Xenopus tropicalis: one gene and its partner. The protein of the gene in region 1 interacts with the protein of each later gene in a pairwise test. Links are inferred from orthologs where the notes say so. Each region holds a gene or a part of one and is shown on either strand. Other genes may lie near its edges. The genes, in order: atpaf2 and pkp4.

Evidence for each region.
Region 2: the proteins of atpaf2 (region 1) and pkp4 interact in binary tests that used the Homo sapiens proteins (3 or more experiments, as listed by UniProt). The two-hybrid records come from large-scale screens. The link is inferred for Xenopus tropicalis from reciprocal best matches to the Homo sapiens genes ATPAF2 and PKP4.

What each region holds. Positions count from the first base shown.
Region 1 is NC_030685.2:15,291,041-15,307,654, forward strand, and holds atpaf2 (ATP synthase mitochondrial F1 complex assembly factor 2 precursor), read left to right. Parts: upstream 1-3,521; 5' UTR 3,522-3,705; coding exon 3,706-3,802; intron 3,803-4,871; coding exon 4,872-4,916; intron 4,917-5,885; coding exon 5,886-6,031; intron 6,032-6,104; coding exon 6,105-6,202; intron 6,203-6,456; coding exon 6,457-6,537; intron 6,538-6,642; coding exon 6,643-6,755; intron 6,756-9,142; coding exon 9,143-9,258; intron 9,259-9,542; coding exon 9,543-9,680; 3' UTR 9,681-10,077; downstream 10,078-16,614. Other genes in the region: gid4 (glucose-induced degradation protein 4 homolog), read right to left, coding at 3,020-3,196. UniProt on the Homo sapiens protein: Plays a role in the assembly of the F1 component of the mitochondrial ATP synthase (ATPase).
Region 2 is NC_030685.2:73,498,364-73,514,142, reverse strand, and holds the end of pkp4 (plakophilin-4), read left to right. Parts: intron 1-1,219; coding exon 1,220-1,415; intron 1,416-2,466; coding exon 2,467-2,551; intron 2,552-3,289; coding exon 3,290-3,407; intron 3,408-4,779; coding exon 4,780-4,911; intron 4,912-6,318; coding exon 6,319-6,392; intron 6,393-7,011; coding exon of another isoform or gene 7,012-7,083; coding exon 7,084-7,260; 3' UTR 7,261-7,704; downstream 7,705-15,779. UniProt on the Homo sapiens protein: Plays a role as a regulator of Rho activity during cytokinesis. May play a role in junctional plaques.

The DNA of each region.
Region 1 (16,614 bases):
CCACTGAAACCAGCAGGGATACAGATAGAGCCATGGGTGCCTGGGCAAAACCACTGAAACCAGCAGGGGTACAGATAGAGCCGTGGGTGCCTGGGCAAAACCACTGAAACCAGCAGGGGTACAGATAGAGCCATGGGTGCCTGGGCCACTGAAACCAGCAGGGGTACAGATAGAGCCATGGGTGCCTGGGCCACTGAAACCAACAGGGGTACAGATAGAGCCATGGGTGCCTGGGCAAAACCACAGAAAACCAATAGGTTATATTTAATGTGCATAATGAGCAAGTGCCCCAGATGACTTTATGCCCATCTGTATGACACAGGGGTCCTTATGACTTCTTGTGGGAGAGACAATATTTATATACAAATGCAGTGTGTAAATCACATGGCCATTTCCAGCCAATGTGTGTGCAGGTGGGGGACACTTGCACCGTGCAGCCTCAGTAACAGTGAGATTAATGGTGTATGTAGCCCCTGGGAGCCCGGAGGGAGCCCAGAGTGCAGCTGAGCCGCCCGAGCCCATTCTCTGTGCAGGGAGAGAGCAATAGAAACCCTGGCTCAGCTGAAAGCAAAGGCTGCCCGTGGGCAGAGGCAGGAGCGCCGGCACATTAGGTCACGTTAGGTCACAGCACTGGCAGACTGTTAGGGCTCGGCGACACAAATAAGGGCAAGAGAGAGACAGATAAAGGTGGTACCAGCCCGGCACAATCCCCCCCCTGGCACCCGTATTCTCTCCCCGATTATGCCCTGCGTGGATGCAAATCCCTCCTTGTTTAATTCTTTTGCTGGGCCGAGGGCAGCGATCCAGGAGGGAGTAGGGAGCTCTCCCAGGGTGCCGCTCACACTATATATGCCTATTTATGGCCGGCTACTTCCATAGCCAAATCAGAGGTGAGCGCCGCTAGGAAAGGGGCCCCGTGCCCGACTCTGAGTAAGGGCCAAACACTTAGATTAATAGGAGGCAATGAATTAAAGCAGAGAATATGCCATATGACAGTGGACAACCTAAGCTGAGGGGGGGGGGGGGGGGGGGAGTTGTAAGGGCTGTAAGTTGTACCCGTCGAAAATAAAAGCTTATAGACATTTAGTTTTCGAGATATTAGCAGTTTTAACACTGTGTTATAATGAATATGACACAGTGCCCCATTCTGTTCTTCCCACTGGCTGCAGCCGGCAGAGGAAAGTTCTGGGGATGTCTCTGTGCTCAGAACCGACCAGAGAAATGTCACATGACTCTTCCCCGCTCACTAACTTCACTTGCAGCAGGGAGTGCAGGAACCTGTGTGGGCTGCAGTGTATAGGAGTAGCGGCTGTGCCCAGGCTATGCCACCATTCTGTACCAGCAGGCACATATAATACTCAGTACCAGCAGGCACATATAATACTCAGTACCAGCAGGCAGATATAATACTCAGTACCAGCAGGCAGATATAATACTCTGTACCAGCAGGCACATATAATACTCAGTACCAGCAGGCACATATAATACTCAGTACCAGCAGGCACATATAATACTCAGTACCAGCAGGCACATATAATACTCAGTACCAGCAGGCAGATATAATACTCAGTACCAGCAGGCAGATATAATACTCTGTACCAGCAGGCAGATATAATACTCTGTACCAGCAGGCAGATATAATACTCTGTACCAGCAGGCAGATATAATACTCTGTACCAGCAGGCAGATATAATACTCTGTACCAGCAGGCAGATATAATACTCTCTCACACCGAGCTTTAGTGTAAAATTTACTGAAGCATTTCCCCCCCCCAAACCAACTCCATCCACCAATCACACGCTCTCTAGAACTGCGGCTCCCATATCTACCTCCACAGGAAATGTAGAGAAGAGATTCCTTGCCCTCTCTATACTCTCCCCTGTTACTGTAACCCACAAGGGTGCTACTACTCTCCTGTCCCCCCAAGTAATACCTTCATGGCAGGTTCCCATGACTCTCCTTCCCCCACCTACTCTGCCATACTCTCCCTATTCCTTTCCAGTTAGGGTTCCACCATTGTGCTCACTGTACAAGGGGGAGACTATTGTTGGCGCTCACTGTACAAGGGGGAGACTATTGTTGGCGCTCACTGTACAAGGGGGAGACTATTGCTGGCGCTCACTGTACAAGGGGGAGACTATTGCTGGCGCTCACTGTACAAGGGGGAGACTATTGTTGGCGCTCACTGTACAAGGGGGAGACTATTGTTGGCGCTCACTGTACAAGGGGGAGACTATTGTTGTGCTCACTGTACAAGGGGGAGACTATTACTGGCGCTCACTGTACAAGGGGGAGACTATTGCTGGCGCTCACTGTACAAGGGGGAGACTATTGTTGGCGCTCACTGTACAAGGGGGAGACTATTGTTGGCGCTCACTGTACAAGGGGGAGACTATTGTTGGCGCTCACTGTACAAGGGGGAGACTATTGTTGGCGCTCACTGTACAAGGGGGAGACTATTGTTGGCGCTCACTGTACAAGGGGGAGACTATTGTTGGCGCTCACTGTACAAGGGGGAGACTATTGTTGGCGCTCACTGTACAAGGGGGAGACTATTGTTGGCGCTCACTGTACAAGGGGGAGACTATTGTTGGCGCTCACTTACCCAGCAGCCCTGGCTTCTCTGCTCTCAGTCCCAACATGATTCACAGCAGAACCCTATGACTCTCCTACCCCCTCCCTCCCTCCCTGCCATAACTCACCCCCCTACCTCCCAAGCCAGGGCCCCAGTGCCTACATGTCCTGCTCCGGCCACCCTTCCCTGGCTAGGGGTCCCTCCCATAACCCTTCCTACCCCACTCCCATTGCCCCTCTATTCCCATCATTCTACCCTATCCCTGCTCCTCTCTTGCCCCTTCACCTGCTCTCCCCCAATAAACCTCTTGTTAAACAACCCCCCCCCCCCCCCAGCCCCTCTACCCAGGATTCCCTGCCGCACATCCCCCCCCTGTGCCCACACACACACACACACACACACACACACACTAGCCAGGCTGCAGTCGGCCCCGCCGGGCCTCACCTGAAGCACAACTTCCACATCGTACGAGTTGCCTTTGCTCTTCTGGTGGCCCCGGAACTTGGAGCCGCTGTAGAGGAGGGTGGTGGCCACGCCGGGCTGCTGGGTGTTGATGGGAGGAGGAGGAATAAGAGAGGAGTATCCGGAGGCCGCGCTGTTGGCCTCGGTACGGACCGGCATATCCAGGGCCGAGCCCCTCTCCCGCTGAGGCGGCTCCACACTAGGGCTCGGCCACTTCTCCACTCCCGGCCCGAGCACCTGGGCCTCTCCAGCACCGCGCAGTCCGATTGGCTGAACGAAAGGCCGCCCACCGCGCAGCACCGCCCCCAATTGGCTAAAGCGGTGACTCGGCGCCGCCGGGAAATGTAGTCTAGCTAAAACTGACCAATGGAGACCAAGAAGGGCTCGGATTGGCTGCTTGCCGGACGTGACGACAAAGAACAAGTCAGGGTCACCAAGATGGCTGCGCCCGGGTGAGCAGGCTTTCTGTACATAGGGGCTGGGACTGGCAGCGTGTTCTCTCTGGGTGTAATGAGCGCTGAGCCTTGTGGGAAGCCTTGGGGAGAGACCATTTCACAGCGGCAGAGGGGTGGTCGCTAATAAATATCTACTGATAATCCTTTGCCCCTCGGCAGGTGCTGATGGGAGAGAGTCCTGAGCAGAACCACTGACCCCTCCCTTACTATACCATGCTGCCCAGTCTGCTAGCGATCACTGCCCGGAGGCTGCGTGTATTCCCGGCGGCACTTTGCGCTCAGACGCGTCTCTATGCAGCCGCTGCTACCGGTAAGTGGCACCAGGGAGTGGAAAGGGAGAAAAGGGGATTTGCCAGTGCATTATACTCCTGTAAATATAAAAGCAATATGTCATTAAGGGATATATATATATCATGCTGTGTAAAAAGTGGAGTAAAACATCACCGGTGATGTTGTTTATAGCAGCCAATCAGATGCTTTGGTTTTCTAACTGTTGAAATGTAATTGCTGATTGGTTCCCCAGGGCAACATCACTGGTAATGTTTCACTCCACTTTTTACACAGCATGATAAATATACCCCTAAATATTCCATTTTCTGCTCATTTAAACCCTACTAGTCCCGCCCATGGGTTCCACTTCCAGCCCTACAGGGAACAGTAGCAGATCTAGTATAAACGGAGAGCTGTGATTGGCTGCCTGCCTCCTACTGAGCTTTTGGCAGAGACCATTAGGGCATGGCATTATGGGGGCCCATCAGACACATGGCGACACAAGGATGAGAACTGATTGAATGGGAAAGTGTCTTGGTGGGGGGTAGAAATCCTGCTGAAGAAAGGGGGCATTTTTAAAGCTAACAATAATCCCCCCCCCCCCATTTTTTTAAATTCCACCTCTCCAGTCTATACCATTCCTTTAGCTCTAATGTTACCTATTCCCCCAATTCAGTGTAGCTCCTTCCAAATGTCCTTCTCCAGAGCCCCCACTTATGCTGGACTTTTGTGCCTTCTCTCTTACTGCCCCCTCCGTGTTACTGCCCCCTCCGTGTTACTGCCCCCTCCGTGTTACTGCCCCCTCCGTGTTACTGCCCCCTCCGTGTTACTGCCCCCTCCGTGTTACTGCCCCCTCCGTGTTACTGCCCCCTCCGTGTTACTGCCCCCTCCGTGTTACTGCCCCCTCCGTGTTACTGCCCCCTTGGCCAGCTGCCACATCCGCACCCATTCTCTGCCCTTTAGCAGTGCAGTTGCCCTGAGGGGAAATGTATTACTGCTTGGATAGTGTGGGTATGAACCCAGTAGAATTCTGCATTTGGTACTGAGGCATCAGTCCAATGTCTTACTCTATTATTTATTGATTCAATTATTTTTTTTTTATGTTGCAGAAAGAAAGAAGTTCTATGAAAATGTCAGTATTTCCCATGGAGAAGGTAGGTTTCACACAGTCCTTTCCAGAGCTGCGCGTGTGGCTTTATCTGTATCTTTAAAGCACCCTGTGCGGGTGCTTGTACCCTCCTACAACTGACGCAGATGGCGACACATTCGGCAAACCTTATCCCAGGCTGGTGTTTATTTCACAGTTTTTTAAGTTACCTAAAACATAGCACTATAGCAACCACCATACAGGCCCGGACTGGCAATCTGTGGGTTCCGGCAAATGCCAGAGGGGCTGCTGTGAGATGCCATAGACCAGCGTTTTTCAACCACTGTTCCGCGGCACACTAGTGTGCCGCGAGATGTTGCCTGGTGTGCCGTAGGCAGGGCACCAATGTACTAGGGGGGCACTGCTCTTGGCACCAATGTACTAGGGGGGCACTGCTCTTGGCACCAATGTACTAGGGGGGCACTGCTGCTGGGCACCAATGTACTAGGGGGGCACTGCTGCTGGGCACCAATGTACTAGGGGGGCACTGCTGCTGGGCACCAATGTACTAGGGGGGCACTGCTGCTGGGCACAGAGTTAAATTTTTTAACATTTTCTAATGGTGGTGTGCCTCGTGATTTTTTTCATGAAACAAGTGTGCCTTTGCCCAAAAAAGGTTGAAAAACACTGCCATAGACAGTCACTATTTATTGGGCTGATGGGGGGCCTCTGTGTACTGGAAATACTAGTACCAGTCCAGACCTGCCTCCATACACCAGCATTGGTATAAGCAATATTGGTCAGAAGCAGTGACCCGGTGGCTGCACTTTCCTTCCTGCTTCCCATGCAGCCAGCCATTGGGCCCAATGAACAGATAAGTGCAGTTTGGCCACCCCTGTGTCTAAATAGAAGGGCATTTTGCCCTTGGGTCCGGCCGCATATAAGATGCCTATTCTGACCCCTTTCTTTTTGTAAATAGAAGGTTGAAATCTATAACCTTTAGCTTGTAAATGCAGCTACTGTCTCTTCCCTCCAGGGGGGTTTGAAATTAACCTGGATCGACGGAAGCTCAGGACGCCACAGGGGAAAATATTTACCGCTCCGAGTGAGGCTTTGGCCGTAGCTGTAGCTACAGAGTGGGACTGCCAGCGAGATGTGATCAAGTTCTACACCATGCACCTGGTAAGGATGCCCTTAAACCCCCACCTCTGCCAGCTTGTATTCATCCGCTAACTGTATTGCCTTCTCCCTGCAGACCACACTGTGCAACACGGCCTTGGATAACCCCACGCTAAGAAACAAGGAGCAGCTTATTACGGCAGCTCTGAAGTTTTTGGAGACTGACACAGTCTGGTGAGTGCCATGTATCCAGTTACTTGATCCATAAGCCTCCATTAGGATTAGATTCAATATCCGCTACTTACCTTATCCCCTGGGCTCTTCTGTAGTGACTTAACAAAGAGCCAGCAAATACACCTTCCATTTCCACATCCTTTGAACGGAAGGAGAGCAGCCATGGAACCAGCAGAGGGAGCCGCGATACAAACAAGTCTCCCTGTATAATTACATGCCATTTAGGCAATAAGATATTTGGTTTTGTATTGCAGTTACAGAGTAGAAGAGCCTCCGGGGCTGGTGGAGCTGCAGAGAAACGAGTGGGACCCAGTGATTGAATGGGCAGAAAAGAGGTCAGCTGACTGCAGACTGGGCAGAGCAATGTGTCACATTTCTATAAAGAAAAGCTCTACGTGTATATTCTTCTTCTTTATTCTCTTAATGTACTTTGGCTTTAGATACAACGTTGTGATTGGATCCTCCACAAGCATCCAGGGGCCCATCATACCAACAGAGACCAAAGATGTGTTTAGCCGTCATCTGGCATCCTACAATTCCTGGGGATTATTAGGTAATGGCAGATAAACTATATCCGTGTCACGTGACTCCGTGAGTTAGTGATGGGAGGTGCATCCCTGGGGGGCAGATTGGGGCTGTTCCTTTTGGATTTGGAAATGAAGACAAATGTATTTATACTACAGCAGACAAAGTGGTAATTGGGGTTCTCTGCTGTGCTGGAGGCTCTGGGCTTCTTTAAAGAAGAAATAAAGCATAAGACACTAGCTTGGGGCGGGGGGGATATGCCTATAAATACCATTTTTATATGCTGAAATCCAGCTGCAAAGCAGCTCTTCTCTTTCTGCATCATTTGAAATCCTGGCAGGGGAGGAGGGACTAAAACATTGATGTTACAAATTGTAACAATATCTCCACAGGTTACAGACAGCATGCAGGAACTGCAAAACCCACAATGCATTGCACTGTGATGTTCCTTTCCTTATTGACATCACATGAGCAGGGAATTGTGGGATTTGGAGGCTGCAGGCTGAGGACAGTCGTCTACTGTTACATTTTATTTGAATCTCAAAGTAGCCAGCCAGATCAGCAGGGGAACAGGGGGCGGGGCTTAGGCAACCGTTCCAAAATGTATTACATTACAAATCATGAAAAGGCTGCATATTTTTTAATTGATGTACAGTGGTGTGAAAAACTATTTGCCCCCTTCCTGATTTCTTATTCTTTTGCATGTTTGTCACACTTAAATGTTTCTGCTCATCAAAAACCGTTAACTATTAGTCAAAGATAACATAATTGAACACAAAATGCAGTTTTTAAATGAAGGTTTACGTTATTAAGGGAGAAAAAAAACTCCAAATCTACATGGCCCTGTGTGAAAAAGTGATTGCCCCCCTTGTTAAAAAATAACTTAACTGTGGTTTATCAATTTCAATTTTCAATTTCAATATCAATTTCTGTAGTCACCCCCAGGCCTGATTACTGCCACACCTGTTTCAATCAAGAAATCACTTAAATAGGAGCTACCTGACACAGAGAAGTAGACCAAAAGCACCTCAAAAGCTAGACATCATGCCAAGATCCAAAGAAATTCAGGAACAAATGAGAACAAAAGTAATTGAGATCTATCAGTCTGGTAAAGGTTATAAAGCCATTTCTAAAGCTTTGGGACTCCAGCGAACCACAGTGAGAGCCATTATCCACAAATGGCAAAAACATGGAACAGTGGTGAACCTTCCCAGGAGTGGCCGGCCGACCAAAATTACCCCAAGAGCGCAGAGACAACTCATCCGAGAGGCCACAAAAGACCCCAGGACAACATCTAAAGAACTGCAGGCCTCACTTGCCTCAATTAAGGTCAGTGTTCACGACTCCACCATAAGAAAGAGACTGGGCAAAAACGGCCTGCATGGCAGATTTCCAAGGCGCAAACCACTTTTAAGCAAAAAGAACATTATGGCTCGTCTCAATTTTGCTAAAAAACATCTCAATGATTGCCAAGACTTTTGAGAAAATACCTTGTGGTATTTAAAGTTTAACTAGTTTAAAAGTTGAACTTTTTGGAAGGTGGGTGTCCCGTTACATCTGGCGTAAAAGTAACACAGCATTTCAGAAAAAGAACATCATACCAACAGTAAAATATGGTGGTGGTAGTGTGATGGTCTGGGGTTGTTTTGCTGCTTCAGGACCTGGAAGGCTTGCTGTGATTGATGGAACCATGAATTCTACTGTCTACCAAAAAATCCTGAAGGAGAATGTCCGGCCATCTGTTCGTCAACTCAAGCTGAAGCGATCTTGGGTGCTGCAGCAGGACAATGACCCAAAACACACCAGCAAATCCACCTCTGAATGGCTGAAGAAAAACAAAATGAAGACTTTGGAGTGGCCTAGTCAAAGTCCTGACCTGAATCCTATTGAGATGTTGTGGCATGACCTTAAAAAGGCGGTTCATGCTAGAAAACCCTCAAATAAAGCTGAATTACAACAATTCTGCAAAGATGAGTGGGCCAAAATTCCTCCAGAGCGCTGTAAAAGACTTGTTGCAAGTTATCGCAAACGCTTGATTGCAGTTATTGCTGCTAAGGGTGGCCCAACCAGTTATTAGGTTCAGGGGGCAATTACTTTTTCACACAGGGCCATGCAGGTTTGGATTTTTTTTCTCCCTAAATAATAAAAACCCTCATTTAAAAACTGCATTTTGTGTTTACTTGTGTTATCTTTGACTAATAGTTAAATGTGTTTGATGATCAGAAACATTTTGTGTGACAAACATGCAAAAGAATAAGAAATCAGGAAGGGGGCAAATAGTTTTTCACACCACTGTATATTGCAAAGTGGCTTGAAATGATGTTTACTTTTCAGAAGCTTAAATTGTGTTTGGGTGAAGTTCCCCTTTAAGCTGATTCTCCTTACTTCCCCCCCACCCACCACCATCCAATACAGGTATCGAATTCATCATTTCTCAACTCAAGTCCCTTGTCCTGACTATGGGACTCATTGACCGACATCTGCCAGTGGAGAAAGCGGTTCTGCTGTCCCGTTTAGAAGAAGAGTACCAGGTAACTGCACTGATACGGCACGATCACTCCGAGGTTCTTACTCGCATAGGTGGGGCTCTGTGCTGTATATTCATGAGATGCTGGCTAATAAATAAAGCTTATGATGCACATATGTAATAATCACTCCGGCAGTTCCCGTTAGGCATGAGGTGACAATCAGACGGCGGTGTATTGATGATTAATTCACATATCCACAGCCGGGTGTAAATGATTCAGGTTCCCTTCTCTGCATAGTCCCCGGACAGATGCCTCTGCTTGTTTTAATCCCGTTCTGTTTGGTTCAGATCCAGCGATGGGGGAACGTGGAGTGGGCGCATGATTATGACCTGCAGGAGTTGCGTTCCCGCACAGCCGCTGGGACCCTCTTTGTACATCTGTGTTCTGAAAGCTCTACCATAAAACACAAGCTCCTGCAAGACTGAGCAAGGGGGACTGGATGCTCTTCTGTTCTGGGAAGCCATTGTATCCCACCTGAAACATCTGGACTAGTGAGGGGGAGACAGACGCCTCCTGGGATCGCAATGAGAGCACGATGACCAAGGCGATTGGCTGATTGAAATCCGAAATCTGATGTAGGACCAGGTGTCTTGTCTGGATGAGGATCACGTGCGAGCTCGGGATAAAACTAGTATGTCAGAGATGTCCAACATACATCTACCTTATGAACTACAACTCCCATTATTCCCAAAGAACTTTTGGCTGTTATTGGTTGCTGGAACTTTAAACACCAGAGATGTTGGAATGTCAGTTTTTTTCCACCATGCTTAATGGCAGCTCAGTGTTACCTCTATGGTAGGCATAAAGATTCCAGTCATTTTATGTGTGTTCCTTTTATTTATTGGTTCACGGCTGAGTATTTCAAAGCATTTCAGTCTTTGATTTGCAAGTCAAGGTCACGTGAACTGAGGGGTGGGGCAATTAATCTATACTTGCAACCTTCAAATGCACCAATGAGAACATCACAACGTGGGCTGAATGGCATCCCATGTACTAACTGTCAAGTTTAGGCTGCTGTTGATCCATGTCCCGATCTAAAATCGGAACCTGGGTCATTTTGGGGAGGTGACACAAATACATAACAAAAATAATTAAAAAAAAAAAAGTGGTTTCTGCTCAACTCATGTTATTAGAAATAACTCGAGGTCAAAGAGCAGCTATTGGGTTAGGGTATATTGCTTGGGGAGGGTAGTGCAAAAAGCCCCCCGGCTGTCACTGATATGGTCCAAGGCTGAAGGAAAGGCTCACATCTGTTCATGCAGCTCTAGGTTGTCCAGCTCATCCCGCAAGTGGTCGATGTATGTGGTGATCTCTAAGATTCTATTGCGGTTCCTTTGTATTTCATCTTTTTGGACCTAGCAGAAACCGGAGAGACTGGCGTTTATGGTACAAAGCTAAACCGTATGTACATTGTGTGTATTAAATGGAATCGGACTCACCTTTTGGATGAGGTTGTTAGCCCAGGTGTTCATTTTGGTGACCAGCTCATCCTCACGGTTATCGATTTTCAGTAGGTGGATATCATGGGAGGCACTGACCGCATTAATGACTGTGTCTTTGTCCACAAAGATCTGATGGGAATGTAAAGAGTATAGTCAGACCAACCCATAAAGCAAGATTGATCAAAAATTATACACTTTGCTCTTACCATCCTGATGTCATCTGTGATCTCATCATCCATCTCTCCCTTTAGCACTTTCTCTAGTAAGTTGATGGAAATCTCCAGGAGCTTCTCGTGATGATGATTCTCCAGGTCTCTGACCTGAGCCATTGTATACATAGAGGTTAAGGATTCATGGGACAACAAACCAGTCAGAGGGGAGCTGCTATGTCTGTGAACCTGGCACCCCAACTGAGCTTTGTGGGAAAGGAACACTTAACAGAAAGGAGTGGGGTTTGCACCTAAATTGTACAAACTGACCACATCACCAGAGGCACTGGCAGAGAATAGCTGGGGTATATGTACCTGGGTTTGAATTACAATGGAAGTTGTAACTTTGCCTTTGAGCACACAGTGATAACATAGGGAAGCTGACTGTGGATTCTGGCAAATGCCAGAGGGGCTGCTGTAAGATGCCATAGACAGTCACTATTAAGTGGGCTGGGGGGGGGCTGTTTGGGCCTCTGTGTACTTGAAATTCCAGGGCCTATTTTGAGTCTCAGGCTTGCTGGGTTTGTGTAGCTGGGTTTGCCCTAATATAGGAGGGAAGAGAGCTATGACTTTACATCTAGCATTAAACCAATCAGGGTACACCTACCTGGATCAGCCCTACCATGGGAGCAGATATGTTTGTATACCAGCCCTAAAGCACAGAGTAATGGCACACCCAGAACAGTGTAGATGGGGTACATGTGTATTTACCCCTACCATAAGGCTGATGCCACACGTGGCGTTTTTACGCGGCGTTTTTTCTCAGCCTAAAAACGCTGCACAAGCCACACATGGCGTTTTTCAGCCTAGAACTGGTGACGTAAGCAAATCCCGTTGCCATGGTGCTAATAGTGCGAAATAGCAAAAAACGCCGCGTATTTCCGCTAGGTCTGGCAGCTGCCTTTGCGTATCCATAGGAATAGCTTGCTTTGCAAGTACTGGCGTATTTCAGCCAACGCTTGAAAAATCCGTGCTTAGGCGTTTTCTAGCGTATTTCCGCTTTGTTTGGTTTGCTGCGCGTCTTTTCAAGCTATTTCTATGGATGATGATATCAGGCGTTTTTCAGCCGCCGAGAGAATTAGAAAATACGCAGCGTAAAAACGCCACGTGTGGCATCAGCCTAAGAGGAGTGAGGCTCGCTTGCAGCACAGGCATAAAGCACTAAGGCACAAAGTGAAATGTAGAGCTGTAACTGGCCAAATATGGGAAGCACCCCCCAATCGCATGGTGGAGCTTAGTGTACCATGGGTAGCATATGTGTCATCCTTAGCTGTCACTGATGCATTGTTTTCTAAAAGTTGTATAAGGAAGGAACTAATTTCTGAAAAAGGGGCGGTGTTTATTTCTTTTTTTGCTTCCTGCTCTCATGTATTCAACTGCTGAACCCCAAGGATATAGGCCCTGTACAGTTTCCAGGAATGCAGAAACCATGTCTGACACATTTCTTTCATACTCCTTTATGATTTCCTGAGGGAGAACAGAAGGTGGTCAGTGACAGCGATTCCCATATTACCAAGAGTGGAAGCCAAGGAGGAAGATAGTGGGAGTCATTCGGTACCTCTGTCTGGTCCACCAGCTGCAGTTCCAGGGTCATCAGTGAGTCCAGCAGCTTGTTGATGTCATCAATATACTGTGAGATTTTAAGGTCTAGGAAGTCCTGATTGCTGCTCTGTGAGAGTTCATTTAATATCTGAAAGCAGAGAAATGGGTCTGAATATCTGAATATCAATGGGGGGTTTGTTTGCAACTGGAGAAACTTTGTTCTAGCTGTGCACTCTGCTAAAGAAAAATGTTTTTTTTCCCCCTAACCTCCTCTCCTGAGCTCAGTTTAATCGTTACAGGGCACAAAGTAAGTTCTGCCTGTGTAAGCCTGCATTCTTCATTGCATGAACATTACAGCACACATATGTGCTGGTTGCAGATGTAAATGTCACTGAAGATGAGTGAAAATGGCCACTGGGTGAAAGCTGCTATTTGTTTTAGGAAAATAGGTTGGTGGGTTTGGGTGGGGGTGATGTGCCCAACTTATATAAATTGTAGGTAAATGTAGGGTTTACATGTCTTTTAATGGTGAGTTCCTCAACCTATCTATGTTTCTGGACACAACCAACACTGTCATGCTGTAAGTCACTGACATATTTCCCCTGCTCTCAGTGGCTGATTCCGACATGAGTCAGCACTTCCTGCTACACTGCACTACAAACATGCTTCATGGCTCAGTAAGGAAAGAAGTTCGGTTGAGGAAGCTCACTCATAAACCATTACTATGTTACAACTATAATAAAAAACTGATAAAAAGAATTCGTAAACATCCAGTACAGTGTGGCTACATGTTTGCATCGGAGGAGGCAGCTCACTCCGGTTCCTTTTAGCCTTACTTCTGAGTTCTTTTCAGTGAGTTCCTGGATTTTCTTGGCTCCTTGCTCCTGGTTTTCCCGTATGGCTTCCTGCATACACTCGTTAAACTCGAACGCCTCGGCCTCTCGCTTCTCATGTTGTTTCATGCCGTATTCAAATATATTTTGGCAGATTTCAATACACTTACTCCTGTACGTGAGATTCTGGTTAAGGATTAATTCCGGCCACTGCTATTGGCTATAAGCTGAACTGCATGGCATCAGCAAAGTGGCTGTTTGTTTGTAGTAATTTGGGAAATGACAGTAAATGGGCAAGGTCTATTATATGGTGGATAGTTATGTGCAGGCCGGCCTGACACCTGTGGGTTTACCCACGTGAAGCTTCCCCCTTTTTGCTTTCTGAGCACTCCTACTCTCTCCGACTACCATGATGTCAAAGAGGTGCCTACTGTACATGTCTGATTAATTTTAATTGGAGCAGAGGAAGTAAGTATGCCCAGTAGGCACTTCTTTGAGGGTTCCATAGTCAGAGAGAGAAGAAGGGCTCAGAAACCAAAAGGGGCCAAGCTTCACACTAGACAAGGTCTAAAAGAGCTGCAGTTCAGCTGCTTGTAACAGAGAAACAAAAGACATTGCTGATGGACTTTGTTCTTCTCTGGCATTTAATTGGGCCAGGGCCCATTAGGAGTAGGTCAGGCTGATCTTGGCGGTGATCATATAAAGAACAGCTATGTGTGGCCTATAAATAGATGCTGAATACATACCGCAATTCTTCAACAAATTAAGGATCCTACTGTAATGCAGCAAATGATTGTGCAGCAGTGGATTATGCTCTCAGTAAAGGATATGAGTCCATTAACTCTGCTACTCCAGGAAGGCCGGATAATTTTGTGCCATCAGCATCATCTGCGTACATGCTCTCAAACAGGAAGGGGCCATTCAGATTCTCCACATAAGCAGCCTTAGCAAGAAAAGAAATACAACTGCTTGTCAGCCATTCAGTGCAAGTATAATACATATGTATAATATATATATAATATATAATAAGATTCTAGCTATCGCTGGGGAGGGGGAAGTTAAACGTAAGTGTCATTTTAGTCCACATTTAGCTTTTGTAACCAAAAGCAACCAAGAAATTAGCTCTGGTTGGTTAAATGCAGTAAGATTTAAAATAATCGGTTGCTATGTGTTACTACTCTGGAGTAACAAAATAGGATTCGGATTCGGTTTGGTGTTCGGCCGAAACTTTCACGAAGGATTCGGGTTTTTCCCCAATTCCCAAACCAGTGGATTTGCTGCATCCCTAACATCCACAAGTGCAGTGAGTAAAGTGCAGTTGCCATGTTTTGTTCCCAGAATTGTAGCGTTATTGCAGTCACAAAGGGGCAATGCTCTTGACGCAATTACACTGCACCTACTGCAATTGCACCCCAAAATGAATGCAAGTGTGTGTGTGTGTGTGTTTATTCTCAAACTGGGCACAGTTGCAGCAAATATTTTCAATGTCTGTCTGCTTCATTTCTGGTGTTCGTCATGTGACTGATGTGCACAGCTATTCTTTTGGCACAAGTGAACTGCAACAATGGATGCAGGGCACTGAGGGAATCCTGGAGCTACCGCCTGGTCTGCATCAATAGGCGCAGCAGAACTCAATTGGGCAGGGAACGCAGAAAGGACTGAGCTGCACTGAGCGCAACTATAGGGATTACAAAGAGTGCATTTTGATGCAACTTACAACTGACTGGGGGGGGGGGGCATGGGGGCTGAAACTGCCCTTGTGATCGTACATGAGCCCTATAATGCCATATAAACAAAAAAATGCCTTTCCTTCTCCTTTAAAAGTAGATATGCATCACCCCAGATTTATGCTGATTCCTATTCAGGCCTCCAGTTTCCCCTTTAGTAGGGGCCAGAGAACACACACAGTTTGGGACCTTCTGGATTAGATGGTGGAATGGGAAATGTGGCACTTCAAGTCCTATGGCACATAGGGTATTTTGTGTAATAAATGGTCTGCTAAACAATATTAAAAGGGTCCTCAGAATTCCAAGTATATTTGCAATATACACTGGAAATATACAGTTATTTGTAAATATAACTGCTATGGATAGCAGTTTCTGTCTGTTTCCATTCTCTGCCCTGCTGGCAGCAGAACTGCATTTTCTTTCAATATACAAATGCAGTTTTCAGGTGGGGGTCCCCTTTAATTTGCAGAGCCACAGGACTGAAGTAGTTAAACAGTTGCAAGATGGTCTTTATATGTGTACCTTATGTAAATCCAACTCTCTCTGCTTCTGTTCCTCTTCTTCCTGCTTGCGCTTTTCCTGGTTCTCATTGTGAGTGATATCATCGATGGAGTACTGGTATTTCATTGTGGCCATCTCTCGCTAATGTATAACAGGGAACAGGCAGTTAGTGTGAAATTGGAGTGAACCACAGAAAAATTCTGCCACTCTCTATTCATTCCTATGTGATTTTAGAAGCATATTTATCAAATGGTGAGCTCTAAATTTGGACAACTCACTAACCCCCCAGTAGCAGGAACCTATAGCAACTATGGCTTTTAAACAGGTGACCAGCAAATACAACCTGCTGGTTGTTATGGGTTACTGCTCCTGGGCAAACTTGGTGCCTTTTATTACATATGGGGGTAAGGGTGCTAGTTCTTCTAGCTCAAATAACAACCATAGATCTGATCAATAGGACAACAGCCCAAAACATTTTGCTTACAATATTCTCATTTAGGAGCCTGAAGTCCAGATACGCCAGGTTTGGGAGGTGAGCCGCAATGAACAGTTTGTATTGGTCGTCTTCAGACAGTGGGTTCCCAGCAAGACTTAATGTACGTAACTGCTTGAACTTCCTTAAGTAGATTAGCTAGGAGGCAGGGAAAAGAAAGAACATTGTAAGTGCACTGTACTCATGTTTAATTTGTTAATATTGCTGCTTTCATAGTGCTGAGTAACTCAATGGCTAGCAGTCATCAGGATGATGATGACTTGTTATTGAAACACAACACTGCGGGGAAACACTTCATGGCAAGGTTGGACTGTGGTGTGCAGGGTTCCCAGTGGCTGCTGCCTCAGGCCCCCCCCCAAAAAGGCCCTCACCATGCACCCCCCAGGGGCCCCTGCCATATGCCCAACCCTCCTTTCTCCTGAGCATGCATATATTATACTTATCGTTGGGGCGTTTGGGGGAGATCAGTGGGGAAGCTCATGCAGGATCTTGTCTGGGTTTGTGGGGCCCACAGACCCAGTCCCACCCTGCTTAATGGCCAAATTAGAAATCTAATGAAAGTTTTGTCCGTTTAATTTTTCCTGGAAGAGATGCTAAAAACTCAGAAAGGGT
Region 2 (15,779 bases), about 58 Mb from region 1:
AGTAAGGGTTGAGGGTCACGGGCCCCGCATATAGTAAGGGTTGAGGGTCACGGGCCCAGCATATAGTAAGGGTTGAGGGTCACGGGCCCAGCATATAGTAAGGGTTGAGGGTCACGGGCCCAGCATATAGTAAGGGTTGAGGGTCACGGGCCCAGCATATAGTAAGGGTTGAGGGTCACGGGCCCCGCATACAGTAAGGGTTGAGGGTCACGGGCCCCGCATACAGTAAGGGTTGAGGGTCATGGGCCTTGCATACAGTAAGGGTTGAGGGTCATGGGCCTTGCATACAGTAAGGGTTGAGGATCATGGGCCCCGCATACAGTAAGGGTTGAGGGTCATGGGCCCCACATACAGTAAGGGTTGAGGGTCATGGGCCCCACATACAGTAAGGGTTGAGGGTCATGGGCCCACATACAGTAAGGGTTGAGGGTCATGGGCCCCACATACAGTAAGGGTTGAGGGTCATGGGCCCCACATACAGTAAGGGTTGAGGGTCATGGGCCCCACATACAGTAAGGGTTGAGGGTCATGGGCCCCACATACAGTAAGGGTTGAGGGTCATGGGCCCCACATACAGTAAGGGTTGAGGGTCATGGGCCCCACATACAGTAAGGGTTGAGGGTCATGGGCCCCACATACAGTAAGGGTTGAGGGTCATGGGCCCCACATACAGTAAGGGTTGAGGGTCATGGGCCCCACATATAGTAGTGGAAGAGCAGCTGAAAGTTGTAGATCAGCAACAGCCAAAAAGCCATGGGCTGGCAGGTTTACTAGTATAATTAAATAAGAAAATGATGTGGGGCTGCCATTTCTGTGTATTTTACCTGGACATAATATTGGGAGTCAGGGTCAGATTTGCCTACCAGAGGATCTCCTGGTCAGCCTAGCCCCTGCTGGTCCTCTGCCTAGGGCAATTACCATCAACCTGTTTTGGGTACCATTTGGCCCTGTCTATATCCAGTTGCTGTTAGTGGGACTGCAGTGTCAGGTTCCCTAGCGGGTCCTAGGAGACCCAGTTCAACACTGTCAGGAAAGTGTGTAGAGATTTTGGCATCATTTTCTCAGTCTGCAGAGAATTTTCAGCCAGTAAAGGCTAACTTCTGATTGGTCCATCTTTTAAGGCAAAAAATCAAATGGAACTAATTCCATATTAACTTCAGCTGTTTCTTAGCGTTGTAGTTTTCATTTATGGCAAATAGCTTCTTTCCCCCCTTCCCAGGTAAATACGCGATGCGTGACTTAGTAAACAGACTTCCCGGAGGTAACGGGCCGTGCGTTTTATCTGACGACACAGTGGCTGCAATCTGTTGTGCATTGCACGAGGTTACAAGCAAGAACATGGAGAATGCGAAAGCGCTGGCCGACACCGGAGGGATTGAGAAGCTGGTGAATATCACAAAAGGAAAGGGAGACAGGCAAGTACTCCTTCACCCATATTATTCAGGTTTAGGGATTGCGACTAATGAGTCTTCATCTAGACTAGAGCAAGGGATATTCTCCTAGAGTCCTGTGATAAGTCTCCCCCCACAGCCTGCCTAACCCAGCGCCATTAATTAGCCGTATCTGGAGTTCCTTCGCTTGCGTGACATTCAGCACAAATGAGCAGGGCCTCTGAGCTCCTCGTGGAGAAGCATAAAGAGCATGGATTATGTCATTGGCTCTTACGGCCATCCGTTCATTAATTCATGGGCTGCCTTCATTAGAAAACCTCTGGCCATTTGCTTTCACAGCAGGACCAAGGAGACAAAGAATTGCCATGTTCTTTATGAAAATTGGATTACGCTCATGAGCAGATTTTATCCAAACGCAATTCCAGTGCTTCTCTCTCTCTGTCGTTGCACTGGCACCACATCCTATTCCTATGTAATTATCAGGGGAGTTCTGCACAAACTTGCTGATTAGTTGCACTGGGGGAGGCAGGGTTGGCCGGCCAAAAGGGGAAAATACAGTTCAGGGGAATTATACTTGACATTGTAGATGACAAAACAGTACCCCTAGGGGCTGAGCTGAAACATTACAGTGCTTACAGATACAGACACCTGATTATTATTAAGCTAATTAATATAACATTGTATATTACATGAGCTTTATAATTTCACCAAAAAAATACTTCCTAATGCTTTTACATTCCCAATCAGATCCCCTATGTTCCCCTATGAGGGGGCGGTCAGGTTGGCACTAGTTTAGAAACTTCATGTAACATTTACTTAAAATATAAGATCCATCTGCAAAAAACAATCAACATGACCTATTATATAAACTGTATACACTAAGGGGTTTATTATGCAGAAGAGCAGATGTGAGGATCTCGGTGCTACAGGTTTATGGAGCTATACATTCATTTCATGTGTTGCCATTTTCCCTCCTTCCTTGTGCTGGGGCTCATCTCAAACAAGAGTTTTATCCTTCCAGCTGTTCTATTGAAATGCATTGGTCATAATTAACAGTGTTTTTGATTTTCCTTAGATCTTCGTTGAAAGTGGTCAAAGCTGCTGCCCAAGTCCTAAACACATTATGGCAATATCGAGACCTCCGTAGCATTTATAAGAAGGTAAAACTGTTAGAATGGGCCTGGGATCTTCTTTTATCTCATTGTGCTGTATTGTTTGTATTGATAGCTAAGGAATAGGCCAATGGGACTACATGGGCAGTTGATTTGCAATGGGGCCAAAATAGCAAATATAACAGAGAAGGGAATCCTGCAGGCTTTGCCTCACAATTGCAATGCTGAAAGATATAGTTCAGCATCATGTGAAGAAGTTTCACAATTGACACCCTAATTCAGATGGTTATTGAAGCATTCCATTACGGTTATTGTGTAGCCACCTTAATATAGGGGCATATGTATTCTCAGGGGTATTTTTAGTATCCCACTTGATCTGCCACTCCTATTGTCTTCAGCCAACTGCTGGTTGGATGTATAAGGGTGAAGACACACAGAGCTACTTAGAAGCAGCTATTTGTCACAGCTACTAAACACCAGAAAATACCTTGCCATAGACAATACAGAGAATTGCCTCTGCTTAAACACACAGAGAGACAGTTATCAGTAAATGATCAGCACTGTCTATTTTAGTAGCCGCGACAAGTATAGCTGCTACTAGTAGCTCCATGTGTCTTCACCCTAACACATGCTGTTTCCCATCACTCGAGGTTGGTGAGTACGGAGAGTATCCAGCCATTACAGAACTTGGAGAGTTGGAGAGAAAAAGATGGCTGCAGCAGTTAAAGGCACTGTGCACAGATGTTCACGGTGATATACTATATATAGTTTTCCTTTCTTTTCTAGGACGGCTGGAATCAGTCTCATTTTATCACTCCAGTATCAACACTAGAGCGTGAGCGCTTCAAGTCTCACCCGTCCTTATCTACCACCAATCAGCAGATGTCTCCCATGATCCAGTCAGGTCAGTGTTGCTCTCAGCAGGGCCGGGTATATGGGGACAAGCCAAAAAGGGCCAATCTGTCACAGAAGATAGTACAGTTCTTGTTATTTATGTTGGAATCTCGCAGGATTATCTGATTCTGGCTCCGTCAGCATCTGCTTTTTGCCATGAAAGTGCTTGGCAGGGAGTTTGAAAGCAAACAGAAGAAGCCATGTTTAGATATGTAGTTCTACACAATTCACTCCCATCTATGGGGTTTCCTTTTCTCTTCCTTATTCCTAAACTTTTTCATATTTTGCTATTTGTATTTTTCTCAGCTGAATATGCAGAAATGTACTCAGCATGAAAAATATATACAACGGTCTATTGCTGTAAAGGTTCCTTTTGTAGCAAGGGGAGGATGAAGCCCCAGGCTGTGCCAGTAAGCAGTGCTACTGAGTAAGCTGGCAGTCTCCCAGAATGAGAAGGTGACTCTCCCAGTAGCATCCAAAATAAAATCTATATGAAACACTCGGGTACAAGCAATTCCTATGCGGGGAGTATATGTATAGGGGGTATTAAATGGCTACAATTTTATTGGTATTACTTTTAAGTACTTATCTTGCTAGTCAGACCTATTCATATTCCAGTTTCTCATTCAAAGCGCTGCCTGGTTGCTAGGGTAATTTGGACCCTTGCAACCATATAAAACAAAATAATTCAACGACGACAAATAAAAACTGAATTGTTTCAGAATAGCACTTTCTACAACATACAAAAAGTTAATTCATTAAGGTAAAGAGCTCCTTTAAAGTGATACTGACACTAAAAAACTACTCTTTAAAATATTAATGTGCATTAAAAGTTCCCTATAGGTCATATTGATCATTTTCCGCTGATTGGGCTGTTTCTTTAAGTAATTTTTGCTTAAAAGAGCAACATGGGGGATCCGATAGGGAATGTAAAAGCATTGGGCAAATATTTTTAAGGCTAAATTATAAATTGCCTGCAAAGACAGTGTTATGATCGATGTAAAAAAGGTTTGATTTCAGATGTCAGTATCTGGTTTTAATAGTCATTGCAGGCAGATTGCCAGGGAAAGCCTAACAATCTCAGAGGGGCAACACAACTTTGGAAACCAAAGTCACCATTTAGATCAAGGTTTGGGACTATACCTACGATCATCAAGAACCCAAAGTCCAAATTATTCTAAAGGGGGAACATTTAATTTAAAGCTTAATAGTTATTATAAGTGATGAGGGGGAAGGACGTGCCTAGTGTTAAACCCAAATAGGAAGCTACAAAGTCTGAATGCTAATGCCTTTATGTACTGCAGGTGTTGCTATAAATAATTTGTTTATTCTCAGTTACTGATTCCTCTATAATAACTTTCATCTCTTCCATTGTGACACAGTGGGCAGCACCTCCTCTTCACCAGCACTGTTAGGAATACGGGAACCTCACTCTGGTTATGAGAGAACACAACCCTCTATGCAATACTATAACAGCCAGGGAGACCCCATCTCTCAGAAGGAAATGTTCACTGGTACGTGCAAATGTCTCTCTCACAGCAGCCATGATGCGCAATACCTTAAATATACACACGTCCCATGCATGTACACACGTCCCATGCATGTACACACGTCCCATGCATGTACACACGTCCCATGCATGTACACACGTCCCATACATGTACACACGTCCCATACATGTACACACGTCCCATACATGTACACACGTCCCATACATGTACACACGTCCCATACATGTACAGTAAAGGGAAGTAGATCTAGTTTGTCTCTGCTCCACTGCAGAACCTACATCCCAGACCTCTCAACCTGAACAGGATCCGTGTCCCACGCAGTTAGTCGCGTCAGAGCTACACATGGACAAGTGCCTATACACCAATACAGCAGGCGCATCAGCTCATCGGGCACGCCCGATGGACCTACCCGACCAATATATGGCCTAAAATTGGCCAGATCTTGATTGGGCAGATTTGATTTTTCCATTCAATCAGGGACCCCGTTAGCTCATTGATGCAGTCCCCAGTCCGACAATCCATATACCCACCACTTTAATTTGATCATTTGGCCCAAGGGATGGAAAGCTAACATCCACCATTCAGATAAAGCCTAATCTTCCCTGTATGGACAGCTAGAATCCTAGGGCTGGAAGAATGTAGATTGAAATACATTCTACTAAATAACAAGAAAAACTTCCAAAAAAGTAATAGAAATCATATTTGTAACTCCTTTATATTTGAAGTACTGCACATTGGGGAGAAAGTAATAAAGTTGGTGTGGAAAAATTATTCGCAATGTGAAAACGTATGCCTGTATGCAACTAAATATGTGTGAATGGGGAAACTGTTTAGCGACCACTTCCAACAGTGGAAGAAAGTTTGCGAATTTTAGTGTTAGTGCGCAGTGTATGTAATAAAACTTCTTAATGGAAAAGTTACCTTTCCTCCAACAGATTCCGCCACCTTCAAGCATGCCTTAAAAAGTTTGCAATGCACATTCTGACTTTTATTACATTCCCCCGATTGTCTTCAGATACAAACATTTGTTTGAATAAGATTGTCCCTACGCAGCATTGCGTCGCTGCGTGTGTAAGTTTAAGCGCGGGGGGCTTTTCTGGTTTGGCTGATATTAACCTGGACAGTCCTCTGACAGTAATAGCAGCGCCCTCTACTGGTGGTAAATAGGAAAACATTACTATTAAATGCAGTAACTCTCAGCAGTGATTCTATGCTTTATCACTCAGCAGTAAACCCAACACTAAATACTTGATTTCAAGGGCGGCATCAGTATAATTTCCTTTTTACATGGGAGGAAACCCACAGAGAGACTTATAACCCTTTGTACTTGGGAGTTATGGGAGTGATTACATTGTTTCTTTGTTCAGAAAAAAGTAAATCACCCACAGACTAAAACTGTTATTTTCATAGGGTCCAGCAAAGCATCTCCAATCTACATCAGCTCCTATTCCTCACCAGCACGAGAGCAAAACAGGCGGCAGCAGGTGAGTTATTAGTATTGGCCCAACCAGAAGTCGTCTTATTAGGGCCCCAAACATTCTGGCAGTTGAGCTGCTTCAGAAACACAAAGTGACGGTCACATCAGTCAGGAACCCACTGAGCCCACCATCAGCGGTTGCCAAGAGACAACAAAGTTTAAAAAAAAAAAAAAATCCTCATATCAATACATACATACACTTTGCTATTGTAACTTTGCATCATTTCTTGAGAGTTTAAGATTTTTTTTTTTTTTTTATAAAATATTGTTCCCTTTGTTTAAGCCCAGCTTAGGAATATTTATATATAATAGTATTAGCTCTTACAATTAATAAGTGGGGGGTTTGTGACATCAAGGATTGAGCAAAAGGGAGTCTGGGCACCATGTCCAGGCACAGTTATGCACTGCAGCCAATTAGATGTTTGCTTTCATTGTTATAGCTGCCCTATAGCAGTAGAAGCTAACTGCTGATTGGTTGCTGTGGGATACAGTAGAAACTGGGCTCATTACTACACATCCCAACTGTATAATGATATTTGGGAATGCCATAGCACAGATATAGCTATGTGAGAAGGATAATGTGTTCAGCATGAGTCTAATAAAGTAACTGTTCCGTTTGTCATTAGCATCACCAGCTGTACTATAGTCTTGAAGACTCAAATAGGAAAAACTATGATGCATACCGATTGTATTTGCAGTCTCCACACAGCTACGAAGACCCGTATTTTGACGAGCGCGTCCACTACACGACGACTGCAGATCAGAATGCGCAATATGGACTCAAATCGACCACAAACTATGTAGACTTTTACTCCACTAGAAGACCTTCCTATAGATCAGAACCGTACCCGGGGTCGCCGGACTCGTGGGTGTAGGACCACTAAGGAGGCGTTTCCATGAACTCTATACTAATAATCATGCTTGATCTGATTTTTTGAATGGCCTTATTTGCTGTTTTGTTTTTTTATTATTATTTTTGTATTTTTTTTTTTTTTTTTTTTTTTTTTGGTGGTGGAAACTGAAAGTGAAATTCAGAGAAGGACGACGGAAGAGAATATATTTTCTTACAATTTCAGAGGGCTTATCATGAACAGGAGAATCAAACTGACGAGGGATATCTATTTTTTTGCTGTCTAGATTGTAGCTCTTAATACTCCTAGCTCTGTAGTTTGGTGATGGTGCAAGCTATGTGATAAAAGGTCTGCGGCGGAGAGACGTGATTGGCGGGGGGAAGAGGTGTAGGTCAATCTTTTAGATTTTTTTTTTTATTATTATTATAAATGTGAATAAAAGTCTCGCTGAGAAGTTTGTACAGACGGAGATGGTTGAAACGAATGCTTTCTTTCCTTCCTTGCTCAGTGTCCGGATTGTATGCTATTCTGTCTTGTAAATGAAACTCCCCCCTATGTAAATACAGTATTGCCATAACGGTTGGAAGTGCCATCATTTGTATTGCTGTGTCATTTTGAATCATTGGAAAAGCAGAAATATGAGATATTATAATGCTAAATAAGGAATAACATTTTTAAATAGCGTCATTTCAAAACGGGGACGGCGGATTCCCGGCGCTGCAGATGAACGAGCTGTGGTTCCTGCCACATTCAGTGCCGGGAGTTTGCCATCTCCGCTATAACTTAATCTACACTTTTTTTCCATTCCCTGCCTCTTTCATACGTCTCACTGCCATTTTCTATGCACACAAAACGACAAAAATAAATGTGGAACATCCACAGAAAGTCGGTTATTGTCTACGTTTGTCTGCGTTCACTTTATTGTAGAACTGTGATTGCTGGGTACCAGTTGGGCAAATGGTACATTCCATAATAAGCACCTAACCTGCAGTTTAAGCGTTCTAATAGCATGGCACAAAAATGTATTACACTTCATGTAAATTGATATATGCTTCTCTAAAGCTGGCCATACACGCACCAATGATATTGTACAAAACCTAATTTCATACAATATTCGGTGCATGTATGGTGGCTCAACGAGGTGACCAATATCGCAGAAGGCTGCAGATATCGGTCGACTTGTCAATCGGCCAGGTTAAAAGATTTTGATTGGGTGCCATTGAAGGAGCCCAAGCAAAATCTACGTTCAGTGCTGAATCGGCAGAAGGAGGCAGAATTTCTATTGTTTCTACCTCCATATCTGACAATTCAGCCCTGAACGTCAGTGGAGGGTGGGAACGACCTTTCGTCTGACCAATGGTCATTGCTACGTGTATGGCCACCCTTAGTCTTCTGTCCTGTGGTTAGTGCTTTGCAGTATATATTGTGCCTTGGGTAATAGCAGTGGAAAAGGTATGCTGTGGGTATTATCAGTGGCCTGTGGAAGGGTAACTATAAGAGGTTATGGCCAGTCATGCTAATAGACCGGTGTCCAGTTGGGGAAATGATGCAGCACTATAAGGTACGGATTAATACAATGAATAGGCAGAATGGGCTCTAAGGGTATTTTCTCCTGGGGTGCCACTATAGGTGCACTAAGTATGCTGGAACACCAGGAGATTGATCAGGATCTCTAGCATAAGCTTACCATCCATCCTTGGCCCACAGGAACAGGCCTTGTGTCAGGGCTTCGGTCCCCTAAGAGAATTGTCACGTGAAGCGTCCACATCTGGCAGTATAATACATGGAATTGCCTCTGTGTCATCCTGCTATGAGTTCTGGGGGTATTATACATGGAATTGCCTCTGTGTCACCCTGCTATGAGTTCTGGGGGTATTATACACGGAATTGCCTCTGTGTCATCCTGCTATGAGTTCTGGGGGTATTATACACGGAATTGCCTCTGTGTCATCCTGCTATGAGTTCTGGGGGTATTATACATGGAATTGCCTCTGTGTCATCCTGCTATGAGTTCTGGGGGTATTATACATGGAATTGCCTCTGTGTCATTCTGCAATGAGTTCTAGGGGTTTTATACATGGAATTGCCACTGCAGTCATTTAAATATTTATATATTTTCTGAGGGTGTTTCTCTAAAATGGGGAGTGGTTTACTGGGGCATGTCTCCCACAGTGGGCGTGGTCTGCATGGCACCACTTTCGCCTTTTTCCCAGATTTCACTCACATCAAAGGCTTAACCTCTAGGCCAACTCCTCCTCCAAAAGTACATGGACACCTGACTGCCAAACTTTTTGGTCCAAAACCAATGGTACTAATATGAAGTTGGCCATTTGCTTTTCTAGGAAGGCTTTCTGTTTGATATTGAAATGTAGTGGGATTTGCTTTCATTCACAGGTAAGAGTTGGGGCACGTCTGATGTTGGGCTTGAGGCCTGGATCTTTTTGGTCTTCTATCTAGTTCATCCCATAGGCATTCAGTTAGGTTATATATATATATACACGCTGGGGCTCAGCAGTTTAGGGCAGGCATTCTCATCAGTATATGTAAAACCAATGTACACTGTATGGATAGTTACACATCGAAATACATTCTATTTATGTGCTAGAATGGCCGCTGCTATGTGATGACCATGAAAATTTTGCAGCAGCAACAACTCTGTCAGTAACCACAAGATGGCGTAGTGCTGAGTTTCATGAAAATTAACTGCATGGTGCGCTCTTACAAGCCACAGCCTTTTTACCATTTTATGGGGGTCTCTTTGTAATACAATTTATTTCTACAGAAGTGCAAAAAATCTAAATAATATCTTAATATGATATAGAGGAATGGCAGTTTCTATATATTGTCCCATTCTATCAAAACTGAAAATTCCGCAAAGCAGCAGCCCTATGTTGTACCACTAGATGGGGCAATTGATATATTTGGGGAACAGTGATTTAATATCCACAGGGGTGAGCTACAGGGAAAAGCCACACAGTACCGCAGGGGCGAGCTACAGGGAAAAGCCACACAGTACCGCAGGGGCGAGCTACAGGGAAAAGCCACACAGTACCGCAGGGGCGAGCTACAGGGAAAAGCCACACAGTACCGCAGGGGCGAGCTACAGGGAAAAGCCACACAGTACCGCAGGGGCGAGCTACAGGGAAAAGCCACACAGTACCACAGGGGAGAGCTACAGGGAAAAGCCACACAGTACCGCAGGGGCGAGCTACAGGTAAAAGCCACACAGTACCGCAGGGGCGAGCTACAGGGAAAAGCCACACAGTACCACAGGGGAGAGCTACAGGGAAAAGCCACACAGTACCTCAGGGGCGAGCTACAGGTAAAAGCCACACAGTACCGCAGGGGCGAGCTACAGGTAAAAGCCACACAGTACCGCAGGGGCGAGCTACAGGTAAAAGCCACACAGTACTGCAGGGGAGAGCTACAGGGAAAAGCCACACAGTACCACAGGGGCGAGCTACAGGGAAAAGCCACACAGTACCACAGGGGAGAGCTACAGGGAAAAGCCACACAGTACCACAGGGGCGAGCTACAGGGAAAAGCCACACAGTACCACAGGGGAGAGCTACAGGGAAAAGCCACACAGTACCTCAGGGGCGAGCTACAATTAAAAGCCACACAGTACCGCAGGGGCGAGCTACAGGGAAAAGCCACACAGTACCACAGGGGAGAGCTACAGGGAAAAGCCACACAGTACCTCAGGGGCGAGCTACAGGTAAAAGCCACACAGTACATGCTGTTATACAGGGAGCGTATAACAGCAGGGAGTAACAAAGAAATTCAGGATCCTTATTATTAACATGATTAAATCCAAACAATGTGCCAATAGCATCAATATATGCTCAAAATATGCATGTGTCCCCAGTTAAATATGGCCATTCTAATCAGACCACATATATATATATATATATATATATATATATATATATATAAAGAAACAGAGAGCCGCACACACAGGGACTTTGCAAAAAGACAAAGTATTTAATGAAAAAGATCCGATGTTTCGAGCACCAACTGTGCTCTTCCTCAGAGCAAAATCGACGTTGTGCTGTGTCAATTCCTTGATTATACATTGTTCTCCATACCTGGCACCCAGGCATTAATGGAGTTTTTTGGTGTGTGCCCTATTTTTCATGTTATATATATATAGAATTTGAGTGTCTGCACTCAAATGCAAAAATCATGCCGGGGTGTACAGTTACAACAAATATATAAAAACTTATATTAAACTGGCACACTCTATAAAAAATGTGACTTTTATTTTTACAATGTTGTTTCAACAAACTTTATATACAAACATACAAATCAATGCCCACTACACATCAATCCAAAATCATATGATTATCCAATCAGTGACTTCCAATGTGACTTTCAAAGGTGAATTCAAAATTTGAATTCAGTACTTCTTTTACCACTTTATAAGCATAAATATTATACCTTGTCTATTCAGCCTTCCTAAAACCTTTTTTACATCATATTTCAATAATCACAATACATACAATTATATCCATAGTGTAGTTGTAATTACTAATATAATCATAAATAGTACAAATAGTGCATTGAAATATATAAATGTGCAATTCCAATTTTATCCATTAGATGTACCTTAAAAGCTCATAATACACTGTCCTTTTAAAATCCACTGTTTAAAAATCCTGTAGAGAAAAGAAACCTTTTTGTAGTAACTAATAACAATATAATATATAAAATAACTAATATAACTAATAACTAATATTGTGACCAAATTGTATATATTTTGTTGATATATAGAGTTACAAAAAGGTTTCTTTTTCTCTACAGGAAGTATTCAAATTCACTTTGAAAGTCACTGATTGGATAATCACATGATTATGGATTGATGTGTAGTGTGCACTGAACATTTTATATATATATATATATATCAGATATACTTTAGCGATCAGAAGTCATTAGTAACCTTAAAGAGGCTAAGGGGCACATTTACTAATCCACGAATCCGAATGGGAAAATTTCGGATTGGAAACGAACATTTTGCGACTTTTTCGTATTTTTGCGATTTTTCCGTTGCCGTTACGACTTTTTTGTAAATTGTCGCGACTTTTTCGTAGCCGTTATGACTTGTGCGAATTGTCGTGACTTTTTCGTAGCTGTTACGATTTGCTCGTATATTGTCGTGACTTTTTCATATTGAGCGCTCGTAAATGGCGGCCAAAACTTTCAGACTTTGCATGATTTTGGAAGCCTCCCATAGGACTCAATGGCACTCTGCAGCTCCAACCCGGCCCAAGGAAAGTCTCCCATAGGGCTCAATGGCACTCTGCAGCTCCAACCTGGCCCAAGGAAAGTCTCCCATAGGGCTCAATGGCACTCTGCAGCTCCAACCCGGCCCAAGGAAAGTCTCCCATAGGGCTCAATGGCACTCTGCAGCTCCAACCCGGCCCAAGGAAAGTCTCCCATAGGGCTCCATGGCACTCTGCAGCTCCAACCTGGCCCAAGGAAAGTCTCCCATAGGACTCAATGGCACTCTGCAGCTCCAACCTGGCCCAAGGAAAGTCTCCCATAGGACTCAATGGCACTCTGCAGCTCCAACCCGGCCCAAGGAAAGTCTCCCATAGGGCTCAGTGGCACTCTGCAGCTCCAACCCGGCCCAAGGAAAGTCTCCCATAGGGCTCAATGGCACTCTGCAGCTCCAACCTGGCCCAAGGAAAGTCTCCCATAGGTCTCAATGGCACTCTGCAGCTCCAACCTGGCCCAAGGAAAGTCTCCCATAGGGCTCAATGGCACTCTGCAGCTCCAACCCGGCCCAAGGAAAGTCTCCCATAGGTCTCAATGGCACTCTGCAGCTCCAACCCGGCCCAAGGAAAGTCTCCCATAGGGCTCAATGGCACTCTGCAGCTCCAACCCGGCCCAAGGAAAGTCTCCCATAGGGCTCAATGGCACTCTGCAGCTCCAACCCGGCCCAAGGAAAGTCTCCCATAGGTCTCAATGGCACTCTGCAGCTCCAACCTGGCCCAAGGAAAGTCTCCCATAGGGCTCAATAGCACTCTGCAGCTCCAACCCGGCCCAAGGAAAGTCTCCCATAGGGCTCAGTGGCACTCTGCAGCTCCAACCTGGCCCAAGGAAAGTCTCCCATAGGGCTCAATGGCACTCTGCAGCTCCAACCCGGCCCAAGGAAAGTCTCCCATAGGGCTCAATGGCACTCTGCAGCTCCAACCCGGCCCAAGGAAAGTCTCCCATAGGGCTCAATGGCACTCTGCAGCTCCAACCCGGCCCAAGGAAAGTCTCCCATAGGGCTCAATGGCACTCTGCAGCTCCAACCCGGCCCAAGGAAAGTCTCCCATAGGGCTCAATGGCACTCTGCAGCTCCAACCCGGCCCAAGGAAAGTCTCCCATAGGGCTCAATGGCACTCTGCAGCTCCAACCCGGCCCAAGGAAAGTCTCCCATAGGGCTCAATGGCACTCTGCAGCTCCAACCCGGCCCAAGGAAAGTCTCCCATAGGGCTCAATGGCACTCTGCAGCTCCAACCCGGCCCAAGGAAAGTCTCCCATAGGGCTCAATGGCACTCTGCAGCTCCAACCCGGCCCAAGGAAAGTCTCCCATAGGGCTCAATGGCACTCTGCAGCTCCAACCCGGCCCAAGGAAAGTCTCCCATAGGGCTCAATGGCACTCTGCAGCTCCAACCCGGCCCAAGGAAAGTCTCCCATAGGGCTCAATGGCACTCTGCAGCTCTAACCCGGCCCAAGGAAAGTCTCCCATAGGGCTCAATGGCACTCTGCAGCTCTAACCCGGCCCAAGGAAAGTCTCCCATAGGGCTCAATGGCACCCTGCAGCTCCAACCCGGCCCAAGGAAAGTCTCCCATAGGGCTCAATGGCACTCTGCAGCTCCAACCCGGCCCAAGGAAAGCCTCCCATAGGGCTCAATGGCACTCTGCAGCTCCAACCCGGCCCAAGGAAAGTCTCCCATAGGGCTCAATGGCACTCTGCAGCTCCAACCCGGCCCAAGGAAAGTCTCCCATAGGGCTCAATGGCACTCTGCAGCTCCAACCCGGCCCAAGGAAAGCCTCCCATAGGGCTCAATGGCACTCTGCAGCTCCAACCCGGCCCAAGGAAAGTCTCCCATAGGGCTCAATGGCACTCTGCAGCTCCAACCCGGCCCAAGGAAAGTCTCCCATAGGGCTCAATGGCACTCTGCAGCTCCAACCCGGCCCAAGGAAAGTCTCCCATAGGGCTCAATGGCACTCTGCAGCTCCAACCCGGCCCAAGGAAAGTCTCCCATAGGGCTCAATGGCACTCTGCAGCTCCAACCCGGCCCAAGGAAAGTCTCCCATAGGGCTCAATGGCACTCTGCAGCTCCAACCTGGCCCAAGGAAAGTCTCCCATAGGGCTCAATGGCACTCTGCAGCTCCAACCTGGCCCAAGGAAAGTCTCCCATAGGGCTCAATGGCACTCTGCAGCTCCAACCCGGCCCAAGGAAAGTCTCCCATAGGGCTCAATGGCACTCTGCAGCTCCAACCTGGCCCAAGGAAAGTCTCCCATAGGGCTCAATGGCACTCTGCAGCTCCAACCCGGCCCAAGGAAAGTCTCCCATAGGGCTCAATGGCACTCTGCAGCTCCAACCCGGCCCAAGAAAAGTCACGATACTGAAGCTTGAATGAATCTGAAACTTTCGTACTCGGCACGACGGCTACGAAAAAAGTCACGACAATTCACGCAAGTCGTAACGCTACGAAAAAGCCATAACGGCTACGAAAAAGTCGCGTCAATTTACGAAAAAAAAACGCAAAATACCGATCATTGCGAAAAAAAAACGCATTCGGACGCTTTTCGGACGTTCGTGGATTAGTAAATGTGCCCCTAAATGTCATTCTAAGCAACTTCCAATAAATATCATTACAAGATCTTACTGAGTTTAAAAATATTTGTAAATGTCATTGCCGTAACTGTCTTCTGTTCTCTTCACTGCCGTTCTTACTCTTGAAACTAGCAGGAACCAGCTCATTCACCTATGAAAAAGTATAGAAAGGCATTGTGGGAACTGGAGTCTTTGGCATCAACATTGTTTCATTGAATCAGAGCCCGCAGAATGGAAAGGGCACAAAATACTCTCCCAGTCTATACCCTCTTTCTAGACTGGCTCTACAGAGACCCATTTCACCTCCTGGTCCATTAACATCTCTCTCTGCACCCCATGGCCTTCTGTGCTCCCCTCAAATGCTAAGTAGTGCTTGTTCTATCTGTGCCCCTTTCCCCCCCTAGGTTAGGGAGCAGTGCACTGCCCAGCCTGAATGGCCACTTCCCATGCACCAAGAGATCATTCTCCTTGAGAGAAGTCTGAGGAGGGCACAGTCTGTTTGTAGCAAATGGAGAATGCCCACCTTCTGCACATTATCATTATCATTTATATCAATATAGAGACAGCAAGTTATACGGCACTACTCATGGCACTCATGTTGAACAAGGGGTTGTACCGCAGGGCCAAGAGCCTTTCATGTATTTGCCTCGCTATACTGACCGCTCACCTTTGAGTGGCTATAGTTTCAGGGTTCCCTGGTGCCAACAG